Drosophila melanogaster: one gene and its partner. The protein of the gene in region 1 interacts with the protein of each later gene in a pairwise test. Each region holds a gene or a part of one and is shown in the gene's direction. Other genes may lie near its edges. The genes, in order: Golgin245 and Rab30.

Evidence for each region.
Region 2: the proteins of Golgin245 (region 1) and Rab30 interact in a two-hybrid assay, tested with the Drosophila melanogaster proteins (one study listed by BioGRID).

The regions. Positions count from the first base shown.
Region 1 is NT_033778.4:23,371,046-23,379,040, reverse strand, and holds Golgin245 (Golgin-245), read left to right. Parts: upstream 1-1,995; 5' UTR 1,996-2,126; coding exon 2,127-2,210; intron 2,211-2,421; coding exon 2,422-2,509; intron 2,510-2,574; coding exon 2,575-2,750; intron 2,751-2,804; coding exon 2,805-3,008; intron 3,009-3,087; coding exon 3,088-6,798; intron 6,799-6,864; coding exon 6,865-6,936; intron 6,937-7,001; coding exon 7,002-7,118; intron 7,119-7,180; coding exon 7,181-7,198; 3' UTR 7,199-7,681; downstream 7,682-7,995. Other genes in the region: yellow-d, read right to left, coding at 1-175; CG13551 (uncharacterized protein), read left to right, coding at 864-992; Ice1 (uncharacterized protein), read right to left, coding at 7,693-7,995.
Region 2 is NT_033779.5:7,029,701-7,034,407, reverse strand, and holds Rab30 (Rab30), read left to right. Parts: upstream 1-1,801; 5' UTR 1,802-2,171; intron 2,172-2,230; 5' UTR 2,231-2,302; coding exon 2,303-2,974; 3' UTR 2,975-3,915; downstream 3,916-4,707. Other genes in the region: caper, read right to left, coding at 1,390-1,443.

The DNA.
Region 1 (7,995 bases):
CCGCCTGAGCGTTCTCCCGATCCTGCGCCGTGGGAAATCCGAACTCCAGCTGGCCCCACTGCGTCAGCGTTTCTACAGTGCGCACGGGACGCGGTCCATTGACACCGACGCCATAGCTCTGGGCTAGCGTCAGCGAAAAGGCGATCAGCAGTATCCGGAGGGGCATCATAACCATTCCGCAGCAGAGTCGGATGGTAAATGTTCTGTTCGAACTAAGGGCAGCTGCTTATCAAGCAAGTTGGTTCCTGAGGCGTTGATAAGTGGCAGAGAGGCAGGCAGGCTGGCTGGCGGAGATCGAAGAGTGTGGACCGCGGCCTGGCTTTGTCTACTTGTTGACGACCAATTAAGAGCAAGGGTCTGTTGATATTTGGCCAGATGCGGCCTAACAATGCGGAATAATTTAATACGGTGACCCCGATCTAACGACACTTTCTTCGACGTCTCACTTCGGTAGCCAACTATCAACTGAAAACAGGCTTTTTAGCTTGGTGGCTTGAAGACGAGCAGGCAGAACGGCAGACAATGATTCAGGTTCATTGGCGGCAGGTGGTTTTCCCCCGATCTTTTTCGCACTCTTTACAGACTTCCGTCGACTGTTTGTCGTGGTCATTCAGGCGATATCCGAACTTTTTGTCTGCCCGTGTGACGGGTTCGGTCTGAAAATTGTTAACCAAATATTGTCTCTTGTAGTAAAGCCTCTTATATGGCTGGCAGCTAATGATGACAGTCGATCAATATTGATGGCAAGCTTCAGGGGTGGGCGGGCTTAGCTAACCAGCAATTAGCTTTTTACGACTTGCTAGCACTAATTGTATTTCGCACCGGCTAATCGAGAGAATCCATCATTGTTCGTTTCGTTGCAGCAAAGGGAGCAGCTGGATCGCCTTAAGAACGACCAGATCCACCAGGCTGAGTTCCACCACCAGCAGATCAAGGAGCACGAGGAGGCCATCCAGCGCCACAAGGAGTTCCTCGAGAACCTGCACAAGTGAGCGGTGATCCATCCACCGGCAGAAGGCGACCGCACGGACGGATGAACTCGAGACATTTACTAAAATGCATTTCACTCTCTTTTGTATGTTCCCAAGTGCTCACTACCACTTACCAGTAACCCAAAAATTATATATGTATTTGAAAAGTGCGTAATAAACCATCCATATTTTGAATGCTTTAACTAGAAGCTCATCTTTAGCTCGTGCTGGAACAGGTTACTAAAGTTTATGGCCGCTTCGTTACAGAACCAAAGCAATAAAGTTCGTTGATGTGTTTCTTTATAAGTTATTTTTCAATTCCTCTTCGTTAATAACTAAGGCCTTATCGCCTGCCGTTATAATCGACTAAAAATCAATTAACTTAAAAAGAATAACAACTTGTAAAAAATAGAATTTATGAAAAGAGTGTATATTTCACGTACAAGAAAACACAGTTATACGAACTATTGCGCGGTTTTTATAAATAAAGAAGTGCAATTTAAACGTATGCTGCATTATCTTCGAATAAAAACAAACTGTAGGGTGCTTAACTAAGCGTTTTTGCCCACAACATGAGGATTCCTCAAACACGAGCGGCTACTTAAAATGCTAAATCATTGCATAATTAGCAAGTTTGACCAGCTTTCATTCAGTTTTAGCGTGTAAACAGTTCATTATAGTAGTATTGTTAGAAAAAATTGAATACATCATACCTAGGAACTTTCTATATATCTATATTTAAAGAATTGAAAGGGCGTTCAACAGGCTTCCAAATATTTTTAAAGATAACCTGCGCCACCTGTGGAAAATATCTTGAACCAAGATGGTATTAAAAAACATGGAGGTAGGTATTATCAATTATAACTAATTAAATTGTTACTTTTGTGTGTATTAAATAAAAATTACATTGTACGTAACATTTATTTATGTTTATTAAAATTTTTCGTCACGTTCATAAACTTAATGACCCGCAGTTGCGTTCGTCCCTAATGAATACTGCGCTTGTTATCGATAACTCCCGAGGCTATCGGCAGTGTGACCGTTGAATGAACATCTGCAGACACGTATTTATTTAGATGTTTTTTAATTACAAATTGAATAGTGCTTAAACCAGGTAGCGCAACCAGTTGAAAAAGAGCGCAGCAGGCACTCGAAATGTTCGCCAACCTGAAGAACAAGCTGATCGAGGAGGTGAAGGCGTCGCCCTCGAAGTTCCAGCAATTTGCGAATGCTGCACAGGTATTTTTGTGTGCGGGGGCGGGGCGGTGCTTATTGCCGATGAAAAATGCAAATTGAGGAAAACATACGCACACAGACACGGAATTGCATGTGTGTCGGTGAACTGGGAAGGGGTCGCCTTCGATTGTGCGATTGTGACCCATTTCTGGGTGCACAAGTGAAAAGTGAAGTGACCAGCTGCTCATGAGTCTTCCTTGGACTTTTTTCCCAGGCCGCCGTGAGCTCATCGTCGAGCACAACACCCAATTCGGAAACGAACACCAGCAACAATGAGAACTTCTTCAGCATCACGGAGGAGGGTGAGTACGCCATGAGTCACCTGGGGTTCCTTATCTCACATATCAATCCATCTTTCACCGCGCAGACACACCTCAGAACTCGCCTTATCGCATCCAAAAGCTGCCGGCCACAAGTGCATCCGCTCTGCGCGGACGATCGACGCAATCCCTGAACGGCGCCACCTCCAGGACCCGCAAGCTCTCCAACTCGTCCATGGCCAGCGACGTGTCTTTCCGCCTGCCTACATATGAAGCGCCAGCTGTAAGTGGCCGAAAAGTCTCCGAGATTGCTTTAATTATGTGTTCTACTTTCCAGGTGTACCACTTGCAATCTGATCTGGACGAAACGAGCAGCGAGTTCGACGACTCCGCCTCAACGGCTCGTCTGGATGTGATCACCAAGGACCAGCTGTACGATGCGTACAAGAAGTCACTTGATCGTTACCACAAGTACCGCTGTCGGTACACGGATCTGGCCAAAAAGTACAAGGAACTGGAACGCGACAGCTCCAAGGCGCGGGTATCTATCTATCTGCCTATCTAATCGGTCTGCTTGATAAGCTTGTGTAACGAACATTTCCGATAATATCGCTTTGCAGTCTGTGCTGGTGGAGACGCAAGACAAGGCGCTGCGCCGAATCAGCGAGCTGAGGGAGCAGTGCACGCTGGAGCAGCAGGCCAAGGCGCATTTGGAGGAGGCTCTGCGCGTTGAGATGGACGACATGAGCTGCAAAATGCAGGCTTATCAGACGAAGCTCCAGCTGCTGGGCGAAAATCCTGAGAATATTACGGCGGCTCTGGAGAGAAGCGGCCAACAGCTGGAGTCCGAACAGCTAATCGACCTGGAGGAGTCGATCGGAAAGTCGCCCCTGTCCACCAATGGCAGTTCCGGTGTGTCCGACTTACAGAGATTACTTAAAGAGCGGGACGAGCAGCTGAAAAGTGTGACCGAAAAATACGAAGCTGTGCGCAAGCAGGAGGAGGAGAACGTGCTTCTTCTGGCCCAGACAAAGCAGGCCATCCATACGGAATTGGAGCTAAAGGACACCGAGGTGCGTAAGCTTCAGGAGAAACTCAAGCAATTGGAATCTCAGCGAGAGTCCCACAACAACGAAGTCAAGGAGCAGTTCAAAAAGCTTCAGGCCACGAAGCAGGAAGTCGATGCCAAACTTATGGCTACAGAGCACCTGCTGAACACCCTAAAAGAAAGCTATGCGATCAAGGAGCAACAGGTGGTCACACTCGAAGCGCAACTGGAAGCCATAAGGGTGGAAAACGAACAGAAAGTAAAAGATCTGCAGAAACAGAACGAAGATCGAAATACCCAAGCAAGCGATTCAAGCGAGCAACTAAAGAAACTTCAAGCAGCCGTTCAGGATGCGGAGTCCCAGCTTTTGTCCAAGGATCAGCTCTTGGAATCTCTCCGAAGCGAACAAGCAGCCAAGGAGCAGCAGCTAAAGCATCTGAAGGAGCAGTTGGGTAAACTGAAACAAGAAAACGAAAATTACTTAGATAAATTGCGAGAAAACAAGAAAAGTAGCGATTCTCAAACTAACGAAGCACAGGATCAGCAAAAGAAACTGCAAGCAGCCAAGGACGAAGCCGAATCGAAGCTCTTAGCCACGGAAGAACTTTTGCACTCCCTCAGGAATGATTATAAAGCACAGGAAGAGAAAGTCGCTTTGTTGGAAGACAAACTGAAAACTCTTTCCAAGGAAAACGATGTGAATGTAGAAAAATTGCACCACATTAATGAACAACGAGAAGCTCAAAGTACTGATTCCCAGCAGAAGATCAATGAACTACGTGCAGCTAAGGACGAAGCCGAAGCCAAACTTCTTTCCACTGAACACAGTTTGAACGCACTTCAGGCCGCACTCTCGGCCAAGGAAGAGCAAGCGGCATCCTTGGAGCAAAGCTTGAATGCGCTTAAAACCGAAAGTGAGCACAGTTTGCAGGACCTGCGCTTGCACAATGATCAGTTGCTCGAAATTGTCCAGCGTCATCAACAAAACGACTGGGAAGCTCAGCTCGCTCGGGCAAGAGAGGAATTGGCAGCCATTCAATCGCAACGGGAGCTCCATGCTCTCGAACTCGAGAAGAGCCTGGAAATGGAGCGCGAATCTGTGGCCGCTTTGAATTCCGAGAAAGCCTCCCAGGAGGAACAGCATAGGCTTAAGCTGGAACAGCTACAGCGAGAGATTCAAATACTACAAGATCAGCACGCGAACTCGGAGAGCGAAACAGTGGCTGCACTAAAAGGGCAGTTGGAGGCTCTTAGTCAGGACTTGGCCACCAGTCAGGCCAGTTTGTTGGCCAAGGAAAAGGAACTGAAAGCCAGCGGCAACAAGTTGAACAAGATAAAGAAGCAACACGAGCAGCACCAGGCGAAATCAAGCGATCAAAGCGCTCGCCTCGAAGCTCTGCAAAGTGAGTTGGCAGATCGACTGAGTCACTCTCGCCAGGTGGAGAGCGAAAAGGAGGAGCTGCAGGCACGCGTCACTGGAATTCTGGAGGAGATTGGCACCATGCAGGCGCAAATGCAACAGGTGCAAGACTCACACAGCGAGCTGGAACGGGAGAAGCGCAAGCTGGAATCCCGCATCGAGTCACTGCAGCAGGAGCAAGTGGACAGCAGTGCCCAGGACGAGAGGACCTCAGCTAAGCTGGAGGAGATCCAGAGCGAAAACACCAAGCTGGCCGAACGCAACTGTCTGCTGGAGGAGCAGACGAATCATTTGGAGTCCCAACTGCAAGCCAAACAAGACGAGATCGGCAAGATCCAGGCGAAGCTGCAACAGGTGCTCGACGAGCACTCGAAGCTGCAAAATGCCCAGGAGCTGATGGATCACGACCATCGGACGCTGCAGGATAAATGCGATGCCTACGAAAAGGATAAGCTGCTGACCAAACACACTCTGGACTGCCTGCAGTCGGCCAGTGAGGAGCTGCATAGGGTTAAGGCTAACTTAGATCGAGAACTGAAGGAGCAGGACCAACAACTGTCGGAGCTGAGAGAGCGACAAAGAGAACAGGAGCAGCAGCTGAAAGACCAAGCCGAACGATGCGCGAAATTGAAGGCCCAAAACAGCGAAAGTGAGACCCAACTGCAGGCCACGATCAGCAATCTTCGCGAGCAACTTGATGCTTATAAGCAGACAGAGCAGGGCATTCAGGAGAAACTGCAGGCTACCAATTCGTCCTACACCACGCAAATTGCCACATTGGAAGCTCGCTGGAGCGCCGCCAACTCAGACGTAGAGCGTCTTCACGAAGCCAATGATGCCCTGCAGCTGGAGATGGAACAGTTGAAGATTAAGCACGGCCAGGAACGCGAGGAGGTGAAGGAGTCAATTGCCCAGAAAAACCGTCAGGTGGTGGAGCTCCAAGAAGCCATGGCCACAAGGGATCGTCAGCTACAAGAAAAGATTGAAGCCTCCGAAAAATTGGCCAAATTCGATGAGATCCTGATCGAGAACGAGTATTTGAATAAGCACACGAAGCAATTGGAGGCCGAGTTGGCTGAGAGTGCGGAGCTGAAGGAGAAACTGAAATCCCTGCAATGTGAATTGTACGTTCTTCAGGAGAAGGCCGAGCAGCATGCCGTCCAAATGGCCGAAAAGGAAACGCAGAGTGCGACAGCAACGGCAGAGGTGTCCGAACTGAAGAAGGCCATCGAGGAACAGGCGGTGGAGCTGACCCGCCAGAAGGAGCACGCCAGCTTTGTCACCGAGCAGAGTGATGCGGTCCAAAAAGACCTTCTTCAAGCGCAGCAGCAACTCCACGATAAGCAAATCGAATTGGCAATGAGTCGGGATGAGCAGGCCTTGCTGCAGGCTGAAGCTGATGGCTTAAGGCAGGAGGTGATTTGCCTTAAGGAGCATTTATCCCCCTCAACCGACTCCGACAGCCTGCGCAGCCTGAACGAGCGACTGCAACGGGAGCTGGAGGATCTCAAGCACAAGAGCGCCGGTGCGGAGTCCAATATGCAGCAGGAGATCGAGGAGCTGCAGGCTAACAACCAGCAGATGGCGGAGCGCATCAACGAGCTGGAAACCCTGCGAGCCGGCATACAAGCCCAGCAACTCCTCGCCAGCATGGCGCCCAAAAACGTTCAGGAGGCAGCCGCTGCCGGCGAGAAGGCTGAACTGGAGTCTAAGCTCAAAGAGATTATGAACGAGGTGCAGGACGTGACGAATCGAAACCTGTTCCTGGAGCAAAAATGCGAGAACTTCCTCATACTCGAACAGTCCAACGAGCGACTTAAGCTGCAGAATGCGAAACTCTCGCGGCAACTGGATGAAACCCTGGTGAGTCCATAGCAGCGGTGCACCCACCCTTTGATTCCATTGCTGATTCCTTTCTCTTGCCGACAGGTATCCATGCAACACAGCGAGGCTGTTCCGGCCAACACGGAATTCGAGTACTTGCGCAACATCATGTTCCAGGTGGGGAATCAAACTAGATAATGTCCAAATATATACTCCCAACTAACTGATATATTCCATTTCAGTACCTAACTGGGAACACGAACAACGAGACGCTTGTCAAGGTGATATCGGCAGTGCTCAAATTTTCGCCGCAGCAGGCCCAAGTTGCACTGGAAAAGGAGCATCAGCGGCGATCGCTGGTAGGGAAGCCCATTTGAGTTCCATATTGCATCGTTAACTAACCCAATACAAACACTTGCAGCTGAACAAACTGATCTAGCATGAACTGATGGCTCTCTACGGCGGAGATTGGAACTGGGAGCCCTGCCCGGTGGCGCTTCTAGACCGCAAATGATGTCGGAGATCACAAGTACCTTATACTTATACCTCACCCTCGCGCACGGCATGGGTGCTTCCGGCTGACTCTGCAGGCATTTCGAGTAGTAGAAGCCGCTGATGTATGTGTATGCCGCATCCTAGATCCATGTTATTGTACAGTCCACGAATTAAGTATAGCTACTTCTGTCCAAATCCACGCTAAGCACTTTTGTACATTTTGATTACGCTTTCCTTTGTTTCATTCACTTGCTTGCGCTCCATGTCCCATGTCCACGACTTACCTTAACCCCAGCCTAACCTAAGTGCAATCGTTTTGTGTATTTTAGTTGTAAGTTTAAATTTGTAAAGATCCGCAGCGCAGTTGGCATTTAGTTTAATTCAAAATCTATACAATAACATACATAAATAAATAGTTACAATTCATAAAAGGGAATCTCAAATCTCTGTACGCCGCCCAGTGGCCGCCACGTGACGGAAGTGCCTCCTCCGTTTCGCAAAGCATCGAATCATGGCCCGCGTTAACGGGTCGAGCTCGTAGTTGGGCCTGTAGTCCTTCAGGGCATCCAGAGTGTACTTGAATCCGAATCTCTGCAGACGTAGGCTGGCCTTGACGGCCGCCAGTTGAACTCCGGATCGTGGCACTGCCACGAGAAGGCGCTTCAGGAAGCCTACGAAGGCGGAGATATCAGTATCCAGGGGCAGTGGCTTCAGTACCAAAGAGATGCAGTGCAGCAGAAG
Region 2 (4,707 bases), on another chromosome or scaffold:
TAAAAAAAAAACGCAAACATAAACAAATCATATTTTATACAAAATGCCTAGATATGTTTTGGTTTTTTTTTTTTATTGTTTTGTAATTTTGTAATTGGTTTTTTTTCGCAGCTTCTGGCACATTCAAAACTTACCAAATGGTCTCCAGCTTTTTGTGTTTAGAATGACCAAAACAATCTCTAGCAACAATATTGAGCTTATTCGATTCTCTGCAAAGACATTTCACCCTTAAGAATTATTCTAGCATTTTTGTTTGGTTTTTTTTTTTTTTTTTTTTTTTGTATTTTTTAATGGTGATTGTGTGTGGGTAGTTGTCGGTAGTTCTTAGTGAGACAGCAGATAGGAAGAAATAGGAGCGTTGAACTCATGAGTTGTTGGTTTGGGGCGAAAGAATTCAATTCAATTAATTTCCAACTTTAGCTGGATGTCATAGACTACTACATTGACTAAAACCTTGGCGAGCTGTCGGACAATAATGCTGATTTTGGTTTTGGGTTAATTAATGATAATTTTATTAGATTTATTCCACAACACACCGAAAATTGCATTTGTAAATGCTACGGAAAAATGTGGTTTGCTAACCTACAAATTATTTTATAATATATTGAGATTTTTCAAGTATGATTTCATATGGCTGAGTTTTAACCTATTAATAAATATTATTACAGATGGTTTGCCCAGATAAGATAAGAGGAATACCAATTGCTACAAAATCCGTTTCAGTCAATAATACAGATTAAAGTCCAAGTTTAGTAAGAGATATAAAATATCACTAAAATACGTTGTTTTTTATAGTTTACAGAATCATGACTGTCTTGTTAGTAATTCAATCCTTTAAGTTTCCCTGATACTTGTTAAACGTTTTCAGTTGCTATTGCAGCCCTGCCAAATATTTTGCACCCCACTGTACACCCACTGCAGTACACGACTGTATCAAATGCCGCGTAGGAAAATAAACAACACAAACCCACACACAGACAGATTTTCCGTTGGCGAAACACTTTTCTGTATGAACGCAGTCTAGTGTGAAAAAAAAATATTACGAAAATCAGCACGCAGATTGGCGTTCCGGCTGCCGATTTTTTATTAAACAGCAAAATTAGGCTAAAAATCGATTTAAGACCACTTAGTATGCATCGACTGCACATGTGTGTGTGTGTGTGTGTGTGCCCGAGACGAAGACGACTTACATACAAACACAAAATGCACGTACGCCTGTGGGTGTCTATGTGGGAAAAGAAGTATACAAACATACATATGAAGTAACTGTTTTTCTATTTTTTTTCATTTTGTTTTTGCACAGCAAAATAATTGCCTTGGGTGGGCACAAAAGCCAGTGGGACTTAATTTAAACGATAGTTGGCTGTTATCCGGCCTTTGGGAACTTACGTTTTTCATGTACGGCGCCTCGAGCATCGCCTCCACATCAAAGTCCTCGGCCATATTCGAAAATTACTTCGCTGCAATTCGGGGTGCTCCGTGAAAAAAGTCCCCTGCTCGGTGTCTGGCACGTTTGGAGAAATCAAAATGTGGTGGGGACGCACAGCGGAATTCGTAGGACGACTTACGAACTTCTCTTTTGGCTTTTGCGATTTTTTAATTAGAATTTTTGCCAATTTTCAACCAGATTTTCTTCTCTAGCGTGGCTGCTTGTTTTCGGCTTCAGGGTTGTCACAGAACTTATCGATGATGAACAATCGATAACTAGTGACCGTACTTCAAAAAGTTTTTAAGTGCTTTGCAAAACGTCGATCTATCGATACCGAGAAAAACATCGTTAAGTATTGCTATGGGAATTGATGTCACATCTCTAATCAAATACCATCACGTCGAAATACAGTAAAATTCTGTTGGTAAACATAAGCAAAATTAAGGCTGGCAATTAATGCGGCAGCATGCAACCAGTTGATTACAAATTTGCAAGCATAGTCAACCTGGCCGAAAGCCTGCTGAATAGATTTGGGGCCGATTCGCATAGATAAGCGAGTAACAAGCATCTACAGCTGCTGTTGAGTCATCATCTTTTAGCCAAATAAGCCAAAAAACAAGGCGAACAGCCGTTGGCCAGCTAGTGATAGAGCCCCAGGTGAGCCACAGGTGAGAGGCGTTGTCTTCGCTGGGGATGGCGTAAGCTGATCCAACGAACCACCACCAGCCAGCAAAGTATAATCGTTACGCGTCGCTGACTAGGTGTGTCTAAGCTCCGACTAACTTTCGTCTACTTTCGCAGAGCACACACACACTTGCCCACACCCAGCGACTCAAAAACCCCAAAACCAACCCATTTTTGGCAACATCCCCAATGGAGGACTACAAGTTCCTGTTCAAAATCGTCCTGGTGGGCAATGCTGGTGTTGGAAAAACATGCCTAGTGCGCCGCTTTACTCAGGGTCTATTTCCACCTGGCCAGGGTGCCACCATTGGTGTGGATTTCATGATTAAGACCGTGGAGGTGGAGGGCGAGAAGATCAAGCTACAAATCTGGGACACCGCCGGCCAGGAGCGGTTCCGATCCATCACGCAAAGCTACTATCGATCGGCTCACGCCTTGATCCTGGTGTACGACATCAGCTGCCAGCCCACATTTGACTGCCTGCCGGACTGGCTGCGCGAGATCCAGGAGTATGCCAACTCCAAGGTACTCAAAATCCTGGTGGGTAACAAGACGGACAGGGATGATCGAGAGATACCCACCCAGATTGGCGAAGAGTTCGCCAAGCAGCATGACATGTACTTCTTGGAGACATCCGCCAAGGAGGCAGAGAATGTAGAGCGTCTGTTCTACGAGATTGCCGCCGAATTGATTGGTCAGGCAAGGAGCAAGGATGGCAGTAGTTCGGCCGCAGCGGCAGCCGCCCAGCGTCAGTCGGAGGGCAGCTCCATCGGACTGGGGAGCTTCAGTGCCAAGGCAGCGCAGAGCAATTGCTGTGGCGGACTCGCCAGCGGCGGCTCCAACTCTAGTCAAGGCGGCTGAGCAGCTGCAAACTGAACTGGAAGCTGAGCAGCTAATCTGTAACTTGTTAAGGACTAATCGTGATATTCCATTTATCTTTTATTACCACAATGCTCCCACATTCTAACACATACATACATATGTTAAATTTTGTTTTTATAAGCATGATTATGACGTGATCGTTTGCCTTTGTCTTTGTAACGATTCCTATTAGATTGTTAAAACACATCGGCTTCAAATACCTTTAAATGTAAAGGTATTTAGAGCAATTCTCTTCGCTTTCACTAAACTACGATAACAACAAACATTTAAAGTACAATGTGCAAACGGATCTGGAAACTGTGCAGCTAATCTGTTATCTGTTATCGTGATATTCTGTTCATGCTTAAGGGTTTATTATTTTAATTACAAGACTAAAAAAATTGATTATTTCTGTATCCCCTTTGGTTTACAGAAAGAAATTGATTGTAAAAACTAATTTACTATTTATCACGATTAAGATCCTATGGGAAACTAGCTGTCAATGACTAAGGATGCTAAATATTTGTGTTACAAGAACTCCATTGGAGGTGTTTAAGACCGCCTGATTTTCTTGATTTGTATTATATAGACGTATGTATTGATCTGATTATGGATCGTTTACCAAGTGAGCATCACAGCCAATGCTACGAAGAATTTATGATATCAAAAATGCTAGACTCACCATTTAGTTTATTTCAATTAATTCCCAAGGAGTATTGCATGTTTTATACATTACATTTTTTGTATACATACACAATTTATGCATATTTATTTGCAATTATTTTTACATATTTTTACGATTAATGTGCAATCTTTGGTAATGCAATTTTTAAATGATATTCGTAATAGTGTTTAAGGTGATTTTATGACATTCCAAAAATTAAGAATTAGAAACTATGAATAGACCAGAAAGCTGAATAAAAAATAAACTAAATACAAGTAAAATGGAAAAGAGTGTTTAATTAATTTACAGCTGATTAATTTACAGCTGAGTAAAATATAAAATATGTTGATTAAGTATATCAACTTTTTACGAATGCGGAAAAAGTTGTTGATTAAAAAAGCTGCAATATATATCTTGTTATTATATAAATATCACAATAATTGGAATGTAAACTTTTAGCCGATAAATAATTACAAATGTTTTTAAAACAGTATTTTGTACAATAATGCATATAAAAAAAAAAAATCCCATCGATTTCAGGATCTAACTAACCACCTTAATAATTTCGTGCAAAAATCGTTCCACTCCGATTCTGAGTTCAAATAGCTCTTCCACCTTAAGTTATAGGTACTGCAAATATTATTAAGTGCTTTAGCCCACAGAATGTTTTTCTTCATTACTTTAAGAGTTAAAAATCGGCCGATCGAATTTTCATTGTGGGAAAATAAAGTTTTTTAATATACTGCAAATGCATCTCTTATCAGATTATTAGGGTTGGGACACTCGAAACAAGTGGTTTTTTTTTTTTAAATAAAACGCTTGCAGAGCTTTGAATTGCATTACTTTTTCGTATCCCCACATTTGCAGCAAGTATAGATTCATCAATCTTCTCTAATCATCCAATTTTTCCAATCTATTATGTGGAGTATCTCTGGAGTGTTGAGTGTAGTTGTGAGCAAAAAATCGAGAAATTCTGCAGTGCTTGTGGTTTTGATCTCCTTTCCCGTTATAAACCATTTCTCAGTCAATGCAAGCCGTCCACCTCTCCTGAAGACCATTATACACGACC